4 linked regions of the Caenorhabditis elegans genome follow. The protein of the gene in region 2 purifies or fractionates together with the protein of the main gene of each other region. This does not show direct contact. Each region holds a gene or a part of one and is shown on either strand. Other genes may lie near its edges.

Region 1 (6,758 bases), on a different chromosome or scaffold from region 2:
TTCAAACTTACAAAATATCAAGATTCCAAAAAAATATTTTCCATCCGCTTTTCTTAATTCTAGAATAGAATACTAAAAGAATCATTTGAAAACATTTCAAGGCGTCTCTGTTTCTCTTTTTGTCCAAATGTCCATATACTTTATTTCCCATCTTTATATCAAAAATCTTTTACTACCCAAAAGTCGATTTTCTGTTGTCCAGCCCACTTTTCAGTCTTCAAACCTCATCTTTTACTGAATGTTCAATTTTTGTGAAATAAATGTACTTATTCAAGACCACCATTGTCCATCTGTGTGATTTAATGTCCGGTCGTTCTGGATTCCCATTTTGGCTTCATTTTGTTTTTGAGAACAAAAATTAAAGCATCGTTTTGAAGAAAAAAAACCTATAGGTCTCCCAGCTAAGTGAGGCGCGGACTTCACGATCGGGTTCCCTGCCGCACTATATATTCGGATACATGCACTGTGATTGACGCTGTGAGGCCGGCGCGGGCGCCGCTGTGGCGACCTCATAGGGGACCTGGTCCCTAAAAAATTAATTTATTGATTTAGAATTTTGAATTTAAACCTGACAATACAATCGAAAAACAATCCCTACTTTATAATGAGATGCAAATTTTGTGGAGCTAAGGTTCAATTTCTTATACTTAAAACAAAACAGTTCCAAAAAATCTGTATTCCAAAATAATTAACATTTAGTGATTATAATCAATATAGAAAATAAGCAGAGAATCACCAGAAAATATGGCCAACTAAGTGACAGAACACAACTGAAAGATAGATTTTTGAAGAAAAAAGTAACACAATTATTTTTGAGAGAAAAAGAAACAATTTTAGGTTTTTTATTATTTATTATCCAGTGAAAATGTCGTGGTCGGCTTGATAGCGTTGCACTTCGTTGAAAATTAGCTCTTTCCATTCAATAAGTGTCTTATCGGCAAAATCAATTTCCTGATCGTATCGATTTTCTGATGCGGGGGCGTTTACCTCATCGTCCTGTAAGATTTGAGATGCATGATTTGATTGTTTTTGTTTAGTGCTAAAATTGTTGTACCTTAAACCACAACTTAACATATGGATGATTCAGTGCATCTTCAACTGAATACCTTTCTTCAGGATTGATTTTCAACATATTGAACAGGAGATCACGAGCCACGTGTGCTGAAAATATGATTTATTTTTCAAAATCCTGTATAGCCTGACTCACGTGTCAAATGGACCCTTGGATTTTCAGTCTCCGGCAGAAAATTGGTATCAGGAACGATTTCACTGAATGCTCGTGCCTGATGACGTGGCAACGATCGAACATACATAGCAGCTGACTGACCCAATTGACTAATGAAATGATCATCTGGTGTTCCCAAAACACTATAAATTTTAGTCCATTGATCAATTCGATCTTTTCCAGGGAAAAGTACGGTATGGTTGATCATTTCAGCAAATATACATCCGACTGACCAAATATCTACTGCAATTATGAATTGAGAGTGTTGTTTGGAAGCGGCCGACACGTTTGGGGTTTTACGCGCACTTTACATGCGGATACGTACGGCGTGAGGCTGTTTGAGGCGGCTCACCGGAGCGCAGATGGAAGTCCAGCCCAAAATTACAAAAATTTTTTTTTTTTTCGAACAAACCTTTTTCCGAATAGGGAAGACCTAATATAACTTCGGGGGCTCTGTAGTATCTTGTCACCACATAATCTGACATTCTCATCGATGTGTCCACATTCTTCTTCCGGGCCAATCCAAAGTCTAAAACTTTTAATACACATCGATCGTTGACGACAATATTCGATGGTTTTAAGTCCTGAAACTTTGAATTTTTCAGAATGTTGTCTATAGTGGTAGATACGTACACGATGAATGACTCCCGAATTGTGAAGATGCTTGATTGCGCACAAACTCTGGTAGACGAAGAATGATAATGTTTTATGGTCCAATCTAATAATTCAGAAAATTTTTTTAGAATCTAATTATGTGTTTATATTCAATATTCAATCATTGAATCATTGAACAATCATGAATAGGAGCTCAAATGTGCAAGTGTTCTAAACTTTTTTAAAAATTCTGATTTTTGGTAGTTAACTAAAATCTTGACCAAAAATTTTCAAAACACGCTGGAATATTTTTTTTATTTTTTTACGCGTGTTCTGGTAGCTAACTGTGCGTGTTTTGATGATGGTTTCGGCACATTTCCAAGTGGGTACTCAAGGTTGGATAAAAATGTATTTCCGACCTTGGGAAACGCGAAAGACGGCAAAATTGAAAGTCTAGCTTTTGCCCTTGTTTCTTTCTTTTTTTAAAAGTTTTTTTTGTTGAAAAGTGTCAGCAATAAACTTATTATTATTGTTGAATATGTTTATTAAACGTGAAATTGAGACAAAAAAGGTTGATATTTTGGAGTCGTTCTGAGTTTATTAGAGCAAAAATGAATCCGCCACTCCTTCTTTAAGATATCGTGCTTTTCCTATTGTTTTATTTTTATTCTTTTGTTCTCAAAATCAATAACAGAAAAATAATATTTTACGTCTATTAGTCTCTAACAAGTCCATCATATACAGTTTAAATTACGTCTAGTATACTAGATATTACTATAAAAATTGGTATTACTGAAAAAAAATCATAAAAATCAGCCACCATGTCTCTTACCTTAATCGATGTATAACCTCGTGCAAATTGTGTGTCATTAATTCCATAACTAGATATACTTCTCGGAACGTTGAAAGTGAAGTGTCCGGTGTAAACGCGTTTAGTAGACGGATTATCTGAAATTTGGAGCATTTTTTCTAGATTCCAACTGAATCTTACATTTGGGTGTTTGATAGTCGTTAGCAGTATAAACTCTCGATATGCTCGCTTTGCGCTCATTGTCATCACAAATGGTTGTTGCATCTTCTTGATTGCCACACGTTGCGTTGTTACTAGGTCATCGGCCATTCTAAATGTAATCAATAAAAATTATGGCTGTTCACTTAACTTAGAAATTCTGTTTGAAGTCATTTGCGCGATAATTTAATTTCAGTCACTTTCATTCTTCTAGAAGATCTTCTTGATTATTGATTTTTTCAAGCTTTTTCAATCTTAGAGGTGGAGCAGCGGGCAATGACGAATAACAATGATCTCGAGACCTCTACCTGTTTTAAAAGTTTTTTGATAGGGCGGTCCGTTTTTTTTCGGGAAGTCATCATTGTGTCAGTGTTTGAAATTACGCAAAACCGAAGAAAAGTTAAAGTGTAAAAATATACAATTGAAAGGCAGTGAGACATTCAAAGATGGAGTACGACCAGAGAAAGGATTCTCTGAAACCAGCCATATGTTTCTAAAATGACTAAAATTCATAGTTCTTTCAAAAAATTTATTTTATCTTTTGGTATTTGAACATTATTGGGGCTATAATTTGCAGTAAAGTGTGAAATGTTTGAAAAAGTAAAAATTATTCGAAAATTTGGCAATCTATCAAATCTTTGATTAACATCTTTGAAGTGTTAATATTTGTTTGTCTATTGAAATTTTTTGTTTACTGCGTTAAAAAATTCGCCCTATTATTTTTCCTTCAATAAAATATTAATGTAATTAGTAAAAACTCACACGACAGTTCCTTGGGCGCCGGCATTCAGAAAACTAAGGTTTACATAACGAGTTGGAATAGTGAAAGTGCTGTCCGCGCCGGCTATCGGGTCCTGAAAATGAATTTGAATGGAGGTAAAGTATCTAGTAACAAACCCTAATTGTAACTTGATGAAATCTAGACGCATCATACTCGTTATGTACCGGCAGATCCACTTCCATCTTATTGTGCCTAAAAAGTTATTAGTTTCAGGGAGAAATACTTAAAATTCAAAAATTAAATATAAACGTTAGTCATTAAATTTCAGCTTTTCTTAAATTTTTAAAAGTATAATTTCAATTTCCAAATAAACGTTTGAAAAAATCTATAAAAATTTCATAATTCTTATCACTTGCAAAAATGTTTCTGATTTTCCTTTCCAACCGGAACTGATAAAAATGCCTTAAAATTGTTGAGTTTCATCAAAACTGAGTCATTTCAACCCACGTAGAAATCAATAAATCTTAAAAACGGAGATTCTAACAGTTTGGAAAATTATTTTCTTTCCAAATATTGACTTTCCATTTCTGGAGTGAAAAAAAATGAGGGAGGGGATATATGTACATATTGTTAGTGAAATACAGTTTTCATTTTTTGAAGTGCAAACTAAACCTGACAATGTTTAAAAAATAGACTAAAAATAGAAAGATATGTAGTTTAATAAATAATCTTTGCAGCTAATCTTTAAATGTTTAATCATAACTTTGGATTTGTAATAAAGAAGTCATTTTTTAACATTTAATGAAATTTCAGCGTTTTTGTTTGGGTTTTTATGTTTTTTAATCGACTCATAAACTCATATTTCATATTTGCATGACGCAAAAAATGTTCACACTTCAAAAATTTGACTTCAGTTGTGAATGATCTTACACTTTTTGCGCTTGGTTTTGAAAGGATGTTCGTATTTAGGAAACAAAAGTCAACACTAATTTCAATGGAAAATTTAAATATTTTAGGTATCAAGTTGACTGGAATGTAACATCCAATAGTGTGTTTCTTTTTTTTAAACCTTTATTATAGAAAAAATACGATCGTACAAAAATAAACAACGACGCAATGACACTCCACCGTTTCTAAACCCCGCCCAAGATTTCATTTGCACTGAAATGTGTCGGCCGCAGTGCAAATGAAATCGTGGGCGGGTCTCAGAAACAGCGGAGTGTCGTTGCGCCGTTGTTTATTTTTGGGCGATCGTATTTTTTCTATAATACTCTAATTACTTTTTTAGTGGGATCACCACCAGGCAGTGTACCTGACTCCCAGATCCGCAGTGCATAGCGCTTGAAGAACGGATCGTCCTTTAATCCTTTAATCCTTTTCTCACGAACTCTACAATAAATACACGGGTTACTCGAATGGTTTATTCTAGCAATAGTTCGAGTTCGGGGTAATTTTGAGGTATTTGCTGTTAATTATTAGTGAAATACATAATACTGCATCGAGATAATTGAAGTCTATTATTCTCAACAAGTAAAATTCAAACTAAAATTGTATTAAAAAAGCAGGGGAAATTTTTTATTTTTACTTAGATTCGAAAACTTGAAGAAAAAAGGCAGTATACCCAGCCTGCCAATTTTTACTTTTACACTTTAAAGACACTTTAGATTTTGTTTTTTTTAAATCATAAATAACCTTTTTAAAAAGTTATAATTAAAAATTAAATAGTACAGGAATGATCTATATACATATATATATATATAAGTTGACAATGCGAAAGAGAGAAATAGTGTAGGTATTAAAAGTTACGTCACTGAGTGAATGTTTGTGTGCGGAAGAGAAGCGATAGGCTGAAGCCAAATAGGAGATGCAGAGAAATAGAGATTTCATCCTTCAGAGAGAGACACACCTAGGATTGAAAATGTGTAGAGAAGTAGAGAATCAGACAGAAAAGAGACACCACTCTGTTTTGGAGAATAGAGTTGCCGTAGAACAAATCGACCGCCTATAATAAAAGCTTTGAAAGTAAATTCTATAAGAAATAAGTTTAATATGTACGTTTTAAGTTTTAAATATCTTTTTCTCAATTATTAACATTTATGACAACTCAAAGCGCTACCCAATTAACTTGGGCCATGAAATCTCGTAGGTGCCTAATCTCCCAAAGTCGTGGGTCCACATTCTGTGTGGTCTTTCCTGTGGGGTTTTTTGGTTGTTCTTTACAATTGTTAAATAATACTTGATTTTGTCTGTTTGTTTCTCTAATTCTTTTCAATCTCTGCATTATTCCTTAGATTTCCCATTTGTTAGTCATCGGAAGTGATAACTCGATGCTAAAATGAAACACAGAGATAGTGAGTTGGATAATTTTAAATTATAAGGTGAAGTAGTGGTTTTTTTGCCATAAATGACAGAATACAGTCCCAATTTACCAAATATAACTGTTAAAAAATCAAAAAATAATAATAAATTTTTTATGATTTTTTCAAAAAGGCCGATTTAAATTTGAATTCTCGCACAAATTAATGGCGTCATTCTCGACATTTTGTGTTTTACGGCCAAACTAATTGGTTTTTCTTTATTCTTACAATTAGTTTTATAATTTGAAACATAATTTTTCAATTTTTCAAACATTTTTCAAACTTGATAATTGCGAAGAAACTTACCGAAACTCTGAAATTGGCTTAATTATTCAAAATTAATCATACATTTTCTTTTAGTCTGAAAAATTGACAGACTGTATTTCAAATTATAAAACAAAGGAAAAATGAAGAAAAACCTATTAATATAGGCTGAAAACGCAAAAGTTTCGAAAATGACGTCACTCATTTGCGCGGGAGTTCAAATTTAATTCAGTCCTTTTTTTTAAATTTTTGTAAAATTAAGAAAAAAATCATTAAAAAATTAGAAAAATTTCATACATTTTCTACATTTTTTAACAGTTATATTTAGTATATTGGGTCTCTATTCTGTCATTTATGGCAAAAAACTTACAGACGCTACTCCACCTTTAAATTTGGAACTTCTATGTATATTCTTTGAACACTTACCCAATAACCACAATCATCTCGTTTTCTTCCGAGAATTGTGAAATATTTTCGTAACAAAAATAATAGAATACTGTTTTTATGAAATTTACTTCTAGAATCCAATTTTTGGATGAAGGAGACAATTTTGTAAAGATGCACACAAATCGAATTAGTGTACTGTAC
Region 2 (4,870 bases):
CTTCATCAGTTAACAAGATTAATCCGGGTGCTTCAGTAAGCTGAAAAAGGAAATTCTTGATTTTATTTCTAGAAAATTAAAATTTACTTTGAAATCCACGGCTTCTTTGCAATTTTTGTGTAGTATCGATCGATTTTCTGGAGATGAGAGACGAGCCACAATGTCTTCTGCGATTTTGAATGAGATTCCAAGTTCACGGCATACTGTAGACATGTGACACCCGTAGTGAACTGGAAGTCGCTGCTCCCAGAGCCGTTTTCCCAAGTGATGAATTGCTTTTTCATAGAGGTCTGGGTATTGTTCACGGATTGAAGTGAGGAACAGCTGAGGGATGACCGATCCACGTGCTACCGCTGTTTTGTAGGTCTAAAAATATTTGTTTGAGAATAAATATTCGAAATCAATCTAACGTTTTTCCAATCTACAGGTGGCACGACACGCTCACAACCAATAAGTTTCTTGCCACGCTCGTCGATTTTTTGTAGAATTCCCATTTCTGAGAGTGTTTCTTCGCTTTCTGCTTGCTCTGGAACTTCTGAAATAACTTTCCCGCGATTATTTGGATTTCTATATATTTTCAAACTACTTACCTATTTTCGTTTTCCAAAGTCTCGAATTGTGTACTTGTCGACGTTGGTTCCAGATTTGAGCATTATGAAGAATTCCAATTTTAAAATCACAAACTGGCTCAAAATCTATACGCTCGAATAGAGAATTGTGTGATGTAAGAGCCTGAAAATTATATTTGATTTTCTTTCCATCTTTTTTTATTTTCGGGAATAATAAAACATTCAAAAAGGGCTGAGATCTATCTATTTTTCACATGCGACCCATTTCTATTTCACGTGAAGCACATGATTCTGAAGGGCAATGGAAATGAAAACCCGGAAAAACAAAATCTTTCAGTTTAAATTGTATCAAAACAAGTTTTTCTAGATTACAAATGTACCTGAATAGTGATCCATGAATTGGGACAGACCACATCGAAATAACATTTCACACGTGGCAATGGAGCCATTTTGAAGTTTGGCTGAAATTAAATTTATGTCGAGAAATTAAAAAAAATCAGAGCGTCATCATGAGAAAATAGGAAAGGTTTAGACTGTAAAATCAGGTTTTCATGGCGGGAATGACATTAAAATGGTGATAAGGTGATTATTTTATCAAAAGAATTTTTTGAATGATTGCACCTAAAATCGAGTGCTTTTTCTTTAATTTGATTATCAAAAGAAAATACCCAAGAAATGGAAAATGAAAATTTAAGAGATGAAAGGAAAAAGCGACCCGGAAAAACATCAAGCTGGGAAGAAATCTCAACTAGTTAGACCAAAGCTTCGAACTCTGCGAGCATGTATTTTTTTTCCTCACTTTCTCCTTTTCTTCTCTATTTCTCTAGATCTTTATTACTGCGGGGGCAAAAAGAGTAAGAGATAGAAAAGAATGACGCAAAAAATACACGGATTTAATATTTGCTTTGCTTTTTTATTCAGAGAGGAAAGGTCAATTGGGGGTTTCCCCTCGTTTTATGAATGAAAACCGCACATAAATATAATTATTTCCACAGTTTTAAACGGCAGAAACGGTTCGTGTTATAATTTGTGAGATAATTGATTTTGCATTACGAAATTAGAAGAAAAGGCGGAAATAAATAAATTAGTGTCGCAATTTTTTTCTCAAAAAGGAAATAATGCAATTACGCTCCACCGGACAGTAAAATTCTCAGTTTATTTGAAAAACAAAAATTTAATTTTTTCCCTTTTTTTCAATTGAAATCTCAAATTTCTGAACTCAAAATGAAATTTTCAGACTTTACCAGAATATTGTGACATCGACCGATGGGTGACTCATCTAAAAAAGTGTTAGTCAAGATTTATTTTATTGTTATAGCAAGAAAATTGAGAAACATACATGAATTGCAATTCTTTGTTTTCAGAAAAGACAGTTTCGACACAATATCTGAACCAGACAGCTTTGATGAGCCGAAAGGCGTACCGATATCAATGGAACCGGTTTTTTCAACAGCGGCTGGTATCCGAATTGATGTGAAGCAGGAATCGATTGATAAATCAAAGAAGATGTTGAATGTAAGCTTTGGAATTAAAAGGAAATAATGGAACATATTCTGAAATTAACTTCGACAACACATTTATTCTTCTAATATAAAAAATTTCAAATTCAGAGTGATCTCAAGAGCAAATCCTCGTCTAAAGGCGGATTTTCTTCCCCTCTCGTGCGCAAAAACAATGGGTCGAGCGCTTTCGTTTCACCGTTTCGAAGAGAAGGGTAAGTTTCAAAGGTGCTATCTAGCTCGAAGTTTTTCTTTTCAGAACGAGCTCAACAACTACAAAACGGCCGGCTAGCGGCGGTTTCGAAGATTTCGAAGCTCCACCAGCAAAAAAATCAACCAGCAGTTCTTCTAAAAAAAGTAAAAAACATTCGAAAAAAGAAAAGAAGAAGGAGTTTAAAGGTTAGTTAAGCTCTAGAATTGGCTCTCCTTTTTGAAAACTGTTCTTTATTCCGTAATTCTCGTAATCCGGAGTCTTTTTTCAGAAATCCACGCCGATGTTTTGCGTGTTTCTCGAATCTACGAAAAGGATAAATTCCGAATTATTCTTCAAGAATCCAGCTCAACTCCTCTAATCCTGGCCACTTGTAGCTACAATCGTGGCTCTGATATTAAATTTGGCGACAGAATTCATGTCGACGCGGAAGTCTGTAAAAAATGTAATGCTCAATCGATTGTAGCTATTGATTTAATTTTTCGTAAACTTTCAGCAAGCTCAGGCGATGTTACAGAAATCTATATTGATAGAGTTCTGAAAAATAAGGAAAATGGTGCGAAATCCGGTATCCGACGCCATTCAATTGCCAAGAAGCCGTTTTGCATCAAACCCAGATGTGAGCCATTTCGAGTTTTCACCTAAAAAAATTATTATTTCAGTTATCCACGAATTGTCAGACACGAAAATCAAAAAAACAGTTGTCCAAGTTAACTTACTCGATTTAAATTTGGATTTTTATGCAGGGTACATACTGATTCCTTGATAATTAATATAATAATATTGGTTTCAGATGTTCGAAATGCAAACACTCTCTCCCAGAAGCAGCGAATCAATGCGAGTTTTGTAAGGATTCCCAAGGAAAATCTGAATTGTCGATGTATTCTAGAGTATGTTCTTTATATTTATATTGCCTATTTCCTAATATAGAACATTTTTAATGTTTTGGATAAATAGCCTATTTTCAGCTAAAATCTCAAATTTTTCCGACTTGTCAGTGGTGCGGCGGTCGGAACTCACTTCTGCGAGTTGTGACATTGTCAAGTTGACAAAGTTTGAGATTTTAGCTGAATTTAGATAATTTTTTGAATTTTAGTTTTTGGGAAGTATCGTTACAAAAAAACTTCAGGTGCGAGTTATGGACTTCTCCGGTCAAATGTTTATCAATGTGACTACAAAAAATATGAAGAAATTACTCGATTTGTTAGGATATGAAGGATTTGACAATTGGTTCCGATTCAAAGACCCCCAGGAACGGTGAGATTTTTGCGGCGTTTTAACTTTCAATTTATAATTTTTTAAATTCCGTTGCATTTTTTCAGACAAAACTATGTGTTCCGCCCTGTTATGGTTGAAATCGAAAAATCGAATGATGAATGGGAATGCACTGACGTGGCAGAAGTCGACTGGAAAGATTTTGGCTCTTACTTGAAACATAAAGTATAATTTATTGATACCGAAAAATTACAGAGAACATTTTTTGTTTCACATATCATAATTTTAGAAGTCGGCCAGAATTTCAGACATTTTCTTCATTTTCTTATATCTCAATTGCGTTAAATTTTTTTCTCGAATCTGATAAATCAAAAAAATTCGCCAAAAATCCCTAAATCACCCAAAAATTTCACATTTTTGAAAAGGTTGCAATTTACAAAAAAAAACTTTGACTTGAAATTTGAGAAATCTAAGAATTTTGTAGTGTTTCATTATGATTATCGGTCACGTTAGAGTGATAAGTGTGCTAATTTTACAATTTTAATTAAGTCTCAAAATTATATCAGCTAAAATTTAATAAAATTCCATAATTTTTCAGGAAGACAAGAAGAAACGCCGTTCGAAAAAGAAGCATCCATAATATTCCATTCATGTGAATATTCATTTAATCATGTTTCATTTATTTTATCATTTTTTTGTTGTGTTTATTCGTTTTAACGTAGATGGTTCAAATGCTTTAATTTATTCTCAAAGAATATCCCCGTTCTAATTTTATATGTTCCCCTTCTGTTGTTTCCATGTTAAAGAATTATTATGAAACGATGAAATCTTCATCAGAAATTCGAAAATTTAGAAAAATAGAAACCCGAAACAAGAAAATATACAAGTACAAATACAAGTAGGCACACGTCATTTTGAAGTTGTGGTCTTATAAAGACAATTTCTAAAACCCAAAATGTTTGGGAAATCGAGAGATAAGGGGGGATCAATTGGAAAATAAATTCTATGAATTGATTAAAGTTGGAAGGAAGGTGGAACAGTCAGAAGATTGTTATTATTGCAATTTTGTTCGGAGATTTTCAGTTTTTCAGCCAATTCTTTGTCTTCAAGAGCTGCCAGAGCAATTGTAAATTCGCGTTTTGTATTTTCCTCCTGCACATTATACAATGTCAATGAGCCCGAGCCACGGCGATTTTTGCATCGAAGTCCACGTCGAAGGCATTCGGATTCAAATTGAGATCCTGGAATATATTATAGTTTATTGATTATGTATTAAAGCTGTGATTTTTGCTTCAAAATACGGTAACCGGCCTCGACACGACAATTTTGGTTGAATGCGACAGGTGTGTGCGCCTTTAAAGGAGTACTGTAATTTC
Region 3 (6,394 bases), on a different chromosome or scaffold from region 2:
AGTGCATGTTATTCTATGTTATTTTTTTTACAAAAAAGTAATAAACGTAAATATTTTGTGTTTCCTTGTTTTTGAACAGCGTGCATGAGTTGGGATTAAACATATTTATTTATCAAATCGTTGAGAATAAATAGAAATAATTGAAATCTTGATGAAAATCAGGAATTGAAATCTTTGAAGATACCGAAAGAGGCTAACAACTATAAAGCGCGCCAACAAATTCCGACTCAGACATAATTCCTTCAAATAGATATTTTTGAACGTTTTTTGAAAGTTGATTCTGAATTTTTAGAACTGGACCAGGTTACTTTTATCTTGAAAACATGCCATGTTTTTGGTGGAATAGCAAAATCTGGTAGTTTACTCTTTTAAGCAAAAAAATGCCCCAAAAAGTTAAAGCTTCGCAACGGGATGTTTTGAAATTTTGTCAAATGTTTTTTTTTCGGAATTTTAGCTTTTTATTCATTCCGCAATAGGTTTTTCGGTAATTAAACACGTTTGTTTTTTGTTCAGTTGTTGTGTTCTTTGAATAAATTTTCAGAAAAATCCTTCGAAACTAACGAAACTGAAAAGGGAGTGCTAGTACTAAAACATTTTGAACTACGCCATTTTAACATCTAATTTTATAGCGGGCAACATCAAGAAGTTTACTGTCTCTTGGATAGTAGGACTTTAACACTTGAGAAAATCAAATCAGTTTTCGAAAAACTGTTTTAAAGATCGTACGCGCGGAACTGTTAACATTTGAGGAATCATTGATACGATTGTGAACGGGAACAAATTTAAATTACAATCAGATGAATTTGAAGGTTCAGTTATTGCAGACAGAAGTATAAATAAAAGGACAAACGTTCCGAAAATGTATGTAGAAATATGAATAAATAATCGGCGAATTATGCAATTCAAAATGTAAAACAACCAAGATTTAACTCAGTTGTCAGGAACATCAACTTTTTACTGCAAAAGAAAAATAAGAGGTTCACTAATGTAGTAAAACGTGAAAAAGAGTTACTAAAATCACAGTATGCAATTTGAACTTTTGTTGGAAGCATTTCTGTGTGTCAATTCATTGCATTGCTCGGTAAATATACTGATTCTCAGAAGTAACAACACAGAAAAACAAAGAGATGGGAAAATAAAGAGGTTTGTAGAAAATGAGATAGGAATGTTAACAACGATATTTTACAAATAACACAACAATTATTTCGAATTATTCCTAGTTCGATTTAATTCTGAAGAAAGTCTTCACTTTTTTCCAAGTTGACATGCTAGCTACTTGCTGTTTCTTTACATTTTGTCTCTTCAACTCTTCACATTGTTGCCGTTTCAGTTCTTTCTGCTCTTTTTGTTCTTCACGTTGCTTCTGCTTCAATTCTTTCTCATATTTTGATTTTTCTGCGGCAACCTTGTACCGATACTCTCTGATTTGCATTAACCAGCAAACACTGTCAAGAGTGTTAACAGGCTCCATGTCTGGTTCTTCAATTTCTAATCGCGATTTTCCATCGTCAATCCAGTCAGCTGAATTGATTGGAAGCCCAGGCTTGAATCGGACAATTGCTTGGTAAATGTACATTGGTACTGTGCTAAAATTAGAAACTTCTATAAGCATACGATCTTTTTTTAGAAGGGCTCACTCTGCATAAATAGCATAAACGATGAAATATTTTGCTGTGTTTTTGATGGAATTGAGAGCTTCAACTGAACGTGATATCTGTGAAAAAAAAAATATTGTGTTTGTTAAAAATGTTGAACTCACTGCGTCAATGGTGTGATTGGCCATCTCGTAATCATCATGGTATAATGGCTGAAATAAAAATTATGTATATTTGGATTACGCGAATTGATTTTGCAACTGGTTAATAAAAATAAATTATTGGCCGGAAAAGTAATGTCTTTTAGTCTTGTGTTCTTACAACTTTACGAATTATTCAGTGAACCCAATAACAATTCTGAGAACATTATCGAAAAAGGTTCCGCGGTCAGAAATTTGCTTAAATATGCTATGTACATTAATAACATTATTACTATACTGTATTTCACCATGATCGTCACAATAAATCAGAGGCCACAGTCTTATTAGCAAATTTAATCAAATGCATTTGTAACCCATCGATTTGAAACAATGCGGCACAATTTCTCAACCAACATTAGAAACTTGAAATTCCTATTGGAAAAATCTAAAATTAGTTTAGAAGTTGAGGCGAACTGTCGACAAATGCAGTTGTATTAAATGTTTGTCCAATTTACCGGTTGTCCGAGCACTTCCTCTGATCTGCGTCTCAAATCAATAACTTGAAGACCGTGAGGCATGAGGTGCTGATTGATGATTTGAATGAATTCCATTGAACATTCTGGTAGTTCAACAATATCGCGCAAGTATCCTTTGAATGGGACACCGATAACGGGTTGATGACTGTGAACAACTGGAATCATGTTGATTCTTAGAGTGTTACTGATTTTTTTTCTTGCGACCTCCGCTATACCAAAACGTTTCGTCTCTCCGGGAAGATACTGAATTTCATGAAATAAGTTAATTAAACTGTTTAAAAATAAAACTTACTCCTCCGTTTCCAATCAAATAAGCTTCTTCCAGTGTCAGGGATTCCTAGAAAAAAAAAATTCAAAACTTATTTAAATTCACTAATTGCTTACATGTTCTCTTCGATAGGCATACCATCGACGATTTCGTTCATGCGAAATGATATTGAACATCTGCATAAAAATTGAATCATCCGAATTCTCCAATGATACGCTATTAATATCTGTTTTGACATTGAGCCATTGGTTCAAACGAAAGCTTCCTTGTGTTTTCATGATTTCTTGCTCATTTGTTTGATGGATCATTATAAACGGTTTTTTAGTAGGCTGAAATTTAATTGAAATGTAGGTCATTTGCAAAGAGCTAGTTACATGAACTGGTGTCACTTTGAATTCCTCACTTGATGCCGGGTTATCCGACGTCTTCACTATACATGCTTCTTGAGTTGCTTCGTGAATAACTTTGCTCAGGATAACAGTTTCTTCATCATCAATTCCCGATGTACTAACCAAAGGTGGTAGTGGACCGGAGAAAACTTTCCATGTTTGTTTTTGCCATCTCTCAGCCTTGTCAGCGCCTGGATGTTTAGGAGGTTCTGGTTCAAGGTTGGTTTCTTTCTTTTCTTTGCGAAAAAACTGAACACAACCGTGTTTAGGTCCCTTACGCTTCCAGACTACATTTTTATCAGCTGTCTTATTGTCCTTGTCATCCCCAAGCATGCTCTGTAATTTAACTAATTTGCAATAAAACTTCTGCGCAGATGAGAAAAGTACTATCTTTGTGTTAGTTTGGGTCTATAATATTTCTAACGACAAAGTATGGTTAAGTCGGCATTCAGGTAAGTATACATTTTCTGTGCGAAACTAGAGAAAATACAAATGATGGATTAATTCATGCGATCTGTGAAATTTTTTAATTGTTCTTTAAATTAAATGAAGAGGCTAACTATTGCATTTAAAACAGACAGAATTTTATTTTGATTTTACACTTATTCATATTGTTTTATCACAGAATAGTGAATAGCGCATTCTCAAAGTAAGCTACACCACATTCAATATCCACCTGAAATCAATTTGCACGTTTCCCAACTTTTTCTTCACTAGTAATGCATTGATGTACACAATTACTAACTCAATGTAATAACTCTTGCATGAACCCACTAGCTGGTTGAAATTACTACTTGCAAAGATTACTACATGCGATATTCTTTTCACTCGTTTTCTAAGAAACCTATAATCCAAAGACCAACTTGCCAGACTCATATTTCTAGTAAGTATTAAGATCTCGTGTTCCCATAAAACGACACTTTAAGTCTAGACGTCTGCTGTTTGCACACCAGTGTTCTTTACTTTTTCTATGTTTTACTCACGACTACACTTGTCCAGGTGTTGTTTTAAAAGCCGACTAAAAAAGTTTAGAAAGTTTACAGCCTGGACTAGATTTGAAAAAAATGTTTTGAACTACCGTATTTCTTCTATTAGTATGGCTTTAGCAATACTATTTTTCGAAGGTATTCCCGCTTGCAATACTGTTAGGGAGTATAATAGGAAGAGCAATACTGTTTTTCAGAACATTTTTATTAGTTTTTTATTTGGAAAAACTCCAATTTTTTTTTGATAATTTAGAACATTCAATTGTAATTGAAACAGAAAGGCTTAATAACTTCAATCTTATAGAAATTTTGTCAAAAATTTTTGCAAAATAGGCAAAAATGTTGTTAAAATCTTAAAATTAGAAAGGAGGATTTGTACCAGAAATAAAAGTAGATGCGAGACTATTAGGGAGTGCAACACTAATAGGTAGTTCAATATTAATTTTTGGAGGGTTTTCAAAGTGTAATACTAAAAAGAAGTGCAAGTCTAAAAGGAAGGCCATACTATAGAAGAAATACGGTATTAGAAAAACATATTGAACATTAGTTAAGCTGCAAAATAATTGCACTTACTTCGATTTCATAATCTTCCAATGTTTTGGGTGGTGCTGGATTTGTTTGTGAAGGACGATCATCCCAATCGAATTTCAGCTTATCAACAAATTGGACGTGCTTCAGTCCTCGGCCTTCTGATTGAGCCTTCAACGAGTCGGTGTCATGTTCCGATTCATCAGGAAGATTTGAAATAACTTCTCTGCGTTTTTGAGAAGCATCTAAGAAACAAGGCTTGTTTTCTTGTCCCTCTGGTTTCGAACTTTTAGAACCCATCTGAATACATGATATTGTAAGATTGTTTGTCAAAATAGTTGAGAAAAAGACTGCAAAGAGAAACACTGAGGAAAGAGTTTGTCGTGAAAAATAACATCACGTAGTACAGCTCCGCCCATTTTTTTGAGTGGAACAAAAATCTGGAAAAATTTAAAGAAATGATGCGGGACATGTTTTTAAAATGATATTCCAAAAATACATAATATTTAACATTAGCATAGATAGGACATTTTGAATAATTTTGAACACGTCTGTGTCCTACAATATTCAATCAAAAAATATGATCATAGTTAAAATTAAAACTCTGACTTTTTTGAGACTTTTTTTGGTCAACTTTCAAGATTATGATAGGTGAGTAATTGTCACTTTCAACTGCAAATAAAAAAATCTTTAAAAATTGTCTATTTTTTGTTATGTTATTCGGTCACTAATTAGACTGATTATAAACATTTCTCCTTCATATTGCTTCAAGCAATACACTATAAGTGGAATTACAAAATAACATGTTTATCAATTGTTATACACTAAAAAATGCATACGCAAAATAGAAGCTTAAAATAATTGTATTCTTTACTCAAATATAAATATAAATGGGTTATCTCTTGATCCCACTTTTATGACTGTTTTGTTGCTAGTTTTAAGGAAAACCGCTAAACTGTTGCAATATTAAACTCGACCAAAAGAAAAAGTTTCAAGACGTCATAAACGATTGTCAAGAACAGTTATAGAAACGTTATCATATAAATAAAAGTAGTAAACACTTTGTAAACTATTTTATCAGTTGAAAATGCTTGTTGCCGTTTGTCTGAACTAGATTAATGGTCATTCTCCTCACTAATTTTAAAATCAAGGTAACAAGAGGTTTAAATATGAAACTAACAATTATAGCTAAACTAGTAAGCCAAAGGAAAAAATAACCAAGTAGTCTAACATATTGAGAATAAAAATCAAAAGATCAAAACTTTCAAGGAAAAGTGTAATGTGCTCAGCAATGTCATGTCATCCTTAAGCTAAATTGAAAATAGAACAAAACATTAGATGACGGTGAATGAGAATTTCCAGTTCACCGAACACGTACTGAAATATTTATCTTTCATGTGTCTATAGAAACATCTGTCAAGTTGTAACTAGTTTATAGTCTCTGACCTAGCTGTATTAGCACAATAGAGCACTGAAAACATTTGAAAACCCAGAGTCGGGCTTTCTTTTCAAATATGATCATATTTTCAAGAGAAATTGGTCTAGACAAGTGGCAAGTTTGCGGCAAAGCCGTCTATAACCAACAAGAAATTAGAAAAACACACAATCCCGAAAATTATATTTTAGACAATATTAAAACACATTTTGATACAAAAAATTGGTACGTTTGTAATGTATACGTTAATACAGAAACAGGTACAAAATTGAGGAATGAGAAACATCACGGAGAAAGTGAAACGAAGTGTAAAAACAAAAAAATTGAAGTTATAGTTAGAGCAAGTTTTTTGGTGTATGAGGTCTAATTTCAACAAAAACTAATGAAAGTATGTTAACATTACATATATTTTATCTAGAACTTTTTAATTGAAATTCAAAACGAAAAAAAAAGGAATAACCCTTAGGCGACTTGGCTAAACTTCATTGCAACATTGCTCAATGCAACTCGGATTTAT
Region 4 (5,246 bases), on a different chromosome or scaffold from region 2:
ATTCTGACCGACGGAGGCGTTCTCCACGTCTACATGTACTTGTTCCTATCGCGCCCTGATTATCAATTCGTGGTAACGGTGCCTTTATGTAATCTGTTCTATAATTTTTGGATCGAACACATCTCCAAGTTATTTTGACTTTCTTTAAACTCTCAAACTCTATATTGAAATAAATTTTGATAGAAAATCTTTTAAAAATTAATCAAAATGGCTGTTGAATCGCGCGAAACTTTTTAAAACAATCTTGAAATTTCTGAAGAAAATGTTTCAGGTGTTCGATAGCTAGTTTGAATAATTGTTTTTTTTAATGTTTTTACCAATTTGAGTCCAATTTTTGACTATCTGCGCAAAACTACTGTAAGCTTAGATAACATTTTTCGAAATATAGTCAAAACCGATCCGCAGAGGCAAACAATTTACTGAAAAGTACCCGCTTTTGCTGATGCATCTTGTGTCCACATCCTGATGGACACCCTATATAATGTGCGCAGCAAAAGAGCGGAGCAATTTTTCCAAATATGTTTCAACACGGCCTTTTCTCTCTCAAGCAAAGTCAAAATTCCAGGACGCGGCGGAAAGGAGGGCCTACATGGCTTCATTGTCCCAATTATCGCAATTGTCAAGAATGTTCTAAAAGAATCTTCTAGCCAACGGCTTAAAGAGCATTCCCTACTTTTCCGGTAGTTCTAGGTAAGTCACAAGATCATTTGATTGTATTTATTTGTAATACTCAAGTGGAGAGACAACTGTCTAGTGGAAAGAATGGAGTTCAAAGGAAGGAACATACAAAATCACAAAAGTTCAATTACGAGCTGTCAGTATTCGAGCCTGAAAATATGTTTAAAGCTCCGGTATTACCGGTACAGATAGTGTAGATAGTTAGAGAGTGCCAGACATCCGGGACCCAATGGGACGGGGCGCGGAAGAGACGATTTGTGCCGATTTACGAAATTTTCCTCGTTGTCATCATTTCGTAAATCGACACAAATCGTCTCTTCCGCGCGCCCCGCCCCGTTGGGTCCCGGATGTCTGACACTCTCTAACTATCTACACAATAGGGAAAAGAAAAAAATAAAACTTTCGTACTTCCAAGTGCATCACGATAGTTTTCATCCCAGTCATACGCCTCACGCAACGATTTTCCTCTGGTCATGTCCTGGAAAATTAAATTGTTATAAATCAATTTTCAAGCAGCCAAAATTTGCAGCGCCCGCACAGGTTTCATTTAATTTGGAGAAAAGAGCACAACGTCAAACTATGATATCTCAGTTGCTATTATATCTATCAACAAAGTTTTCACTAACAAAACGTAGATCTTAAAATTTTAAATACTTTGCAGTTGTGAGCTCTCTATTGATATTTTAGACAAATATTGTAGGAAAACAGTACCAACTTCGAAATATCTAGTGCGAGATACTAGAAAGAGTTCAGCTAACAGGGATTTTTGTGAAATTTATATACTGGTTGAAAACTTTTTGATAGCTCTGTTGGTGGCAGGGATTTTAGTTTTTTTAAAATTCAAATTACGTTTTCTACGTGGTAAGGAACAATCACGATCAGTTCAGAATTTAACTTACACAAAGCAAATTTTGCAATGAAGAATGATCGGGCTCATCCTCCGATCGCAAATTGAAAATCGCTCCACAGAACACGGAGAAATAGGGTCCGGTGAGCAGCAAGTATGGAGAGTTTGGAGTATTCTAAACAAACATTTTAAAGGTACAACTTTTTAAAATCACGTACAAAGTCCACTTTAGTCTGTCGGATGTCATCAGTGCTCACCAGTTTCCAGGGAAGGTTGACAAGGAGAAGCTCAGCCCCAGAGTAGGCCATTGACACAAAGTCATCAACTGGGGTCTGTTCTTTTCCATCGTGGACACGCACAGACGAGTAGCGCAGTGTCCCTCTGAACAATTTTCTGAACTTTCTGGGAACAATTTAAAGTTACCTAAAACCAGGTTTGTATCTCTGTTTACGACGTGTTCCATCCACGTTCTTGAATCTTCGAACCATCCCATAGTCGACTAGCTTGAGCACATGACGAGTCTGAAAATTGGCAAAACCTGGCTCTAACCTGCTCAAATAGCCGTAACCCAAACAATCTTTTAGGCATTAAAAAAACTACCGTTACCTAGGCATTAAAAAAACTACCGTTAAAAACTACCGTTTTTATACAACGTTATGCTTAGAAGTGGTGGTATACTAAGCATAAAAATGCAACATAATGTCACGTTTCAATTATATTAGCAGTTTAAATAGAAATATGTACATAAATGGAGAATTTATTTTTGGAAAACGGGTATTACATACATAAATATCAAATATTCTTACACTTTGAGTAACTCCAAAGCACATATTTGCAGGTTTCACGTCTCGGTGAATGTAACCAAGAGAATGGACATCCCGAAGTGCAGCGATTCCTTGGATCATGATTCGTGCGACTGTGGTTTGGCTCAGACGTTTTACTGGGCTTCTTTTCTTCAGATCACCAATGTTTGGACCAAGAAGTTGCATTACTAAAAACTTGACTGTTTTTAGTACGCACCGCTTTTGCTGTGAACTGGCAAAAGTCGACTGCGCGTTGCAAAATATTATAAATGTTATGTTTTGCAACATGTTAGAAAAACTTTTTGATAACTTCAAATCCCGCGAAGATGTACCGGTCGCTGACTTTCAGTGACACTTTATATTCTGCAACATTGAAAGCTATAAAGCCTCAAAGAAACCTACCAATAAAATTCAATTGCTCCGTGTGTCCCGAAGCGCACATAATGGGAACATGAGGTCTTCCCTGCAGACGGTAGAGAACTTTTTGCTCCAAGATCATTCGTCGTCTTGGCCTTCCTTTCAGGACCACTGGCTCAATTTTGATGACAACATCTTCCGGGAATGTAGCGTCTGAGCCGTAGTAGATTTGGCCGAAACCTCCACGTCCGATAAGCCCCTAAATTTTTTAATTTAATAAAAATTATAAATATTTGGAAGTGATTCTGCGCAAAATTTCACATTGATCAAAGAAGTTTTTGAAAGCTCGAACCGCTTATGAGAACGTTTTCATTTTTAGCATCAAGAAATCATGGGAAAGGGAAAGGCGCAGACGTGGTTTTTTTCAGTAGCCATTTTTGTAGCATTGCTTATTGTTTTGAAAATCCCTTACCTTCACCATAAACTTTCCGCGAAACATTTGATCATTTGACAAATACTCAGAACCGTTTCGATCTTTCAACATCGGCACATATGGCTTCACTTTTGGAATTGCCAATCCATCTATCAAGATCCTGGAAAAATTGAGACCTGAGTTCTGATAAACTTCAAAAACCAAACTTACACAGTTTCTTCAGAACGCTCCAAAGTTTCCATTTAATTTAACGCGAATATTGAGAAAAGGAAATAAATTGATTGGGGAAACTAAAATTGGATACAAGAGGATTTCTCCAGTTTTTCACGTCAAAATTTCTTTTTTAACTTCCCTGACCGTTCTAAAAAATTTTCAGAAAAAATAACAGTACAATGTGCAAAGTATAAACGTGAACGAACTTCACTACGAGTTGTTTTGGATATATTTTTCGGACGAGAAGTTGGGAGACAGACACATCCTCGTAAAATATCTATAGGGTTCTTGAGAACTATCAAGTTTGTTCAAACAAAATTATTAGAATTTATTGAGTGAAATTCGAATGCTACAAAAAACCATACACGTAACAGAATCATGATAATAATTTCTCATGACTTTTTCTTTACATATCTTCAGAGAAGCTGCTGCTCATTTTCTCATACAGGCGGACTTCCTTCGTCTTTGTGCACATTATAACTATCAGTTCGTGTAGAACAGAAGTATGCGAGAAGAAGGAGAAGTACGAGGAAAATGAGACAAGTGACAAGTGCAATGAGCCCAATTACAATCAATGTTTCATTTGTCGATGGGCCACCCGAGTCTCCACTGAGAAGATCATCGCCTTTTGTTGGAGATGTCTCAGATGTTGAAAGTGTGGAAGATGAATTTTTGAATTCTTGACGACGATTTTCTCGTTCTCGTTGTTCGTCTGGAATAATGAGAGATTTGTAACTGACTTTAATGTAAGACACACCTTGATCTACATCCAACTGATCAAAATTTAAAATTGGTTTTACAATAACTCCGCCATGAAGCCATGGTTTCGGTTTTCCACTTGTTGTTTTCTTTGGAGTTTCAGTCGTTTTATAAGATATTGTAGATGTGGACAACTCGATAATTTCATTGGAAGTTGTCTCAACACCAAACAACGTCGATGTATCAATTTCCAGCGGTTCTTCGCTATCCTGAACATTGAAATTAAGTTTACATAATATCGGCATTGAATAATTGAGTTTCGCAAGTTTAGAATAGGTTATATTCAAAAGCACCATTTGAAGAAGAAGTAACGGTAGTTTTTGCTGAAATAATCACACAATGGCTCTAAAACTTCGAACTCGAATGCGACTACTCACAAAAAATCTCAACAATGTTTAAAGTTTTTCTCAACAATGTTTAAAGTGTAATAATCTCAACAATGTTTAAAGTTCTCCAATTTTTTTTTTGGGAAAAGGGCAAAGTTTAGCTTTAATTTCTAATTTTGGTTTTATTAAATCTTTTTTTTTGGAATAAGACATATTTGAATCAAGAAGTCTCATCATGAAAGTAGATTTTTGGTGTATCATTAGTTATTTAAGAAAAAAAACCCAAAACCGTTACTCGTCCTTCAGTTCATGAATAATGTAAGAAATAATAATACAGTAACATTCCAAATATACCTCTAAATCTAAATTATCAGCGACATAATTTGACCGTGTTGTACTGTCATAACGATTTGATGAATAAAAGAAGTTTGGTGGTGTATTCTCCATACTATCTTCCGAAAATACTTTTCGCTTGAGTGTTGTTGTTTCAATTTGAATCTCTTCTCCGCTTTCTTCCAAATCTTCTGATTCATTTGAATTAACAATATTTGGTGGGGTCAAGTTTAAAAGTTGATCTGGAGTTGTCACTTCTACGAGTGCATTATCTTCCGATTGTTTTTCTTTGGAATCAGCGTCCGAATCTGATTCTGATAATCTTGTTTCAATAGATACCACACTAATTGTTGGATGAGTTGTATTATCCGAGTCATGGTATTCATGATCTTCATCATAATGGTGATCAGTGTAATCATGATATTCAGCATTGTGATCCACGTCCTCTTCAGTTTTGTCATTGAGATGTGTTAGAGAGTTGGTGGAAGTACTTGGAC

What was found.
Region 1: the proteins of brc-2 (region 2) and kgb-1 fractionate together in Caenorhabditis elegans (co-fractionation; one large-scale study listed by BioGRID). This does not show direct contact.
Region 3: the proteins of brc-2 (region 2) and F45E1.5 fractionate together in Caenorhabditis elegans (co-fractionation; one large-scale study listed by BioGRID). This does not show direct contact.
Region 4: the proteins of brc-2 (region 2) and ZC581.2 fractionate together in Caenorhabditis elegans (co-fractionation; one large-scale study listed by BioGRID). This does not show direct contact.

What each region holds. Positions count from the first base shown.
Region 1 is NC_003282.8:405,096-411,853, forward strand, and holds kgb-1 (GLH-binding kinase 1), read right to left. Parts: upstream 4,939-6,758; 5' UTR 4,862-4,938; intron 4,778-4,861; exon of another isoform or gene 4,667-4,777; intron 3,802-4,666; 5' UTR 3,792-3,801; coding exon 3,726-3,791; intron 3,683-3,725; coding exon 3,591-3,682; intron 2,941-3,590; coding exon 2,811-2,940; intron 2,768-2,810; coding exon 2,652-2,767; intron 1,944-2,651; coding exon 1,859-1,943; intron 1,810-1,858; coding exon 1,638-1,809; intron 1,469-1,637; coding exon 1,208-1,468; intron 1,162-1,207; coding exon 1,055-1,161; intron 997-1,054; coding exon 853-996; 3' UTR 526-852; downstream 1-525. UniProt on the Caenorhabditis elegans protein: Mitogen-activated protein kinase which is an essential component of the JNK pathway composed of mlk-1, mek-1 and kgb-1.
Region 2 is NC_003281.10:6,900,043-6,904,912, reverse strand, and holds brc-2 (DNA repair protein brc-2), read left to right. Parts: upstream 1-1,806; 5' UTR 1,807-1,835; coding exon 1,836-1,858; intron 1,859-1,933; coding exon 1,934-2,084; intron 2,085-2,179; coding exon 2,180-2,283; intron 2,284-2,327; coding exon 2,328-2,467; intron 2,468-2,550; coding exon 2,551-2,724; intron 2,725-2,775; coding exon 2,776-2,898; intron 2,899-2,941; coding exon 2,942-3,026; intron 3,027-3,072; coding exon 3,073-3,169; intron 3,170-3,408; coding exon 3,409-3,536; intron 3,537-3,601; coding exon 3,602-3,719; intron 3,720-4,092; coding exon 4,093-4,134; 3' UTR 4,135-4,345; downstream 4,346-4,870. Other genes in the region: T07E3.3 (DSBA-like thioredoxin domain-containing protein), read right to left, coding at 1-40, 88-366, 411-535, 591-732, 950-1,018; T07E3.4 (F-box domain-containing protein), read right to left, coding at 4,509-4,735. UniProt on the Caenorhabditis elegans protein: Required for the homologous recombination repair of DNA double strand breaks, thereby playing a role in chromosome integrity. Acts by targeting rad-51 to sites of DNA damage and stabilizing rad-51-DNA filaments by blocking ATP hydrolysis catalyzed by rad-51.
Region 3 is NC_003284.9:7,975,048-7,981,441, reverse strand, and holds F45E1.5 (Rhodanese domain-containing protein), read right to left. Parts: upstream 4,743-6,394; coding exon 4,488-4,742; intron 3,265-4,487; coding exon 2,914-3,264; intron 2,869-2,913; coding exon 2,656-2,868; intron 2,609-2,655; coding exon 2,564-2,608; intron 2,515-2,563; coding exon 2,251-2,514; intron 1,808-2,250; coding exon 1,760-1,807; intron 1,715-1,759; coding exon 1,638-1,714; intron 1,587-1,637; coding exon 1,217-1,586; 3' UTR 707-1,216; downstream 1-706.
Region 4 is NC_003279.8:6,653,829-6,659,074, reverse strand, and holds ZC581.2 (non-specific serine/threonine protein kinase), read right to left. Parts: upstream 3,468-5,246; 5' UTR 3,361-3,467; coding exon 3,329-3,360; intron 3,279-3,328; coding exon 3,158-3,278; intron 2,945-3,157; coding exon 2,731-2,944; intron 2,517-2,730; coding exon 2,332-2,516; intron 2,047-2,331; coding exon 1,949-2,046; intron 1,907-1,948; coding exon 1,744-1,906; intron 1,701-1,743; coding exon 1,578-1,700; intron 1,157-1,577; coding exon 1,087-1,156; intron 829-1,086; coding exon 806-828; 3' UTR 704-805; downstream 1-703. Other genes in the region: ZC581.3 (CPG4 domain-containing protein), read right to left, coding at 3,772-4,043, 4,089-4,299, 4,771-5,246.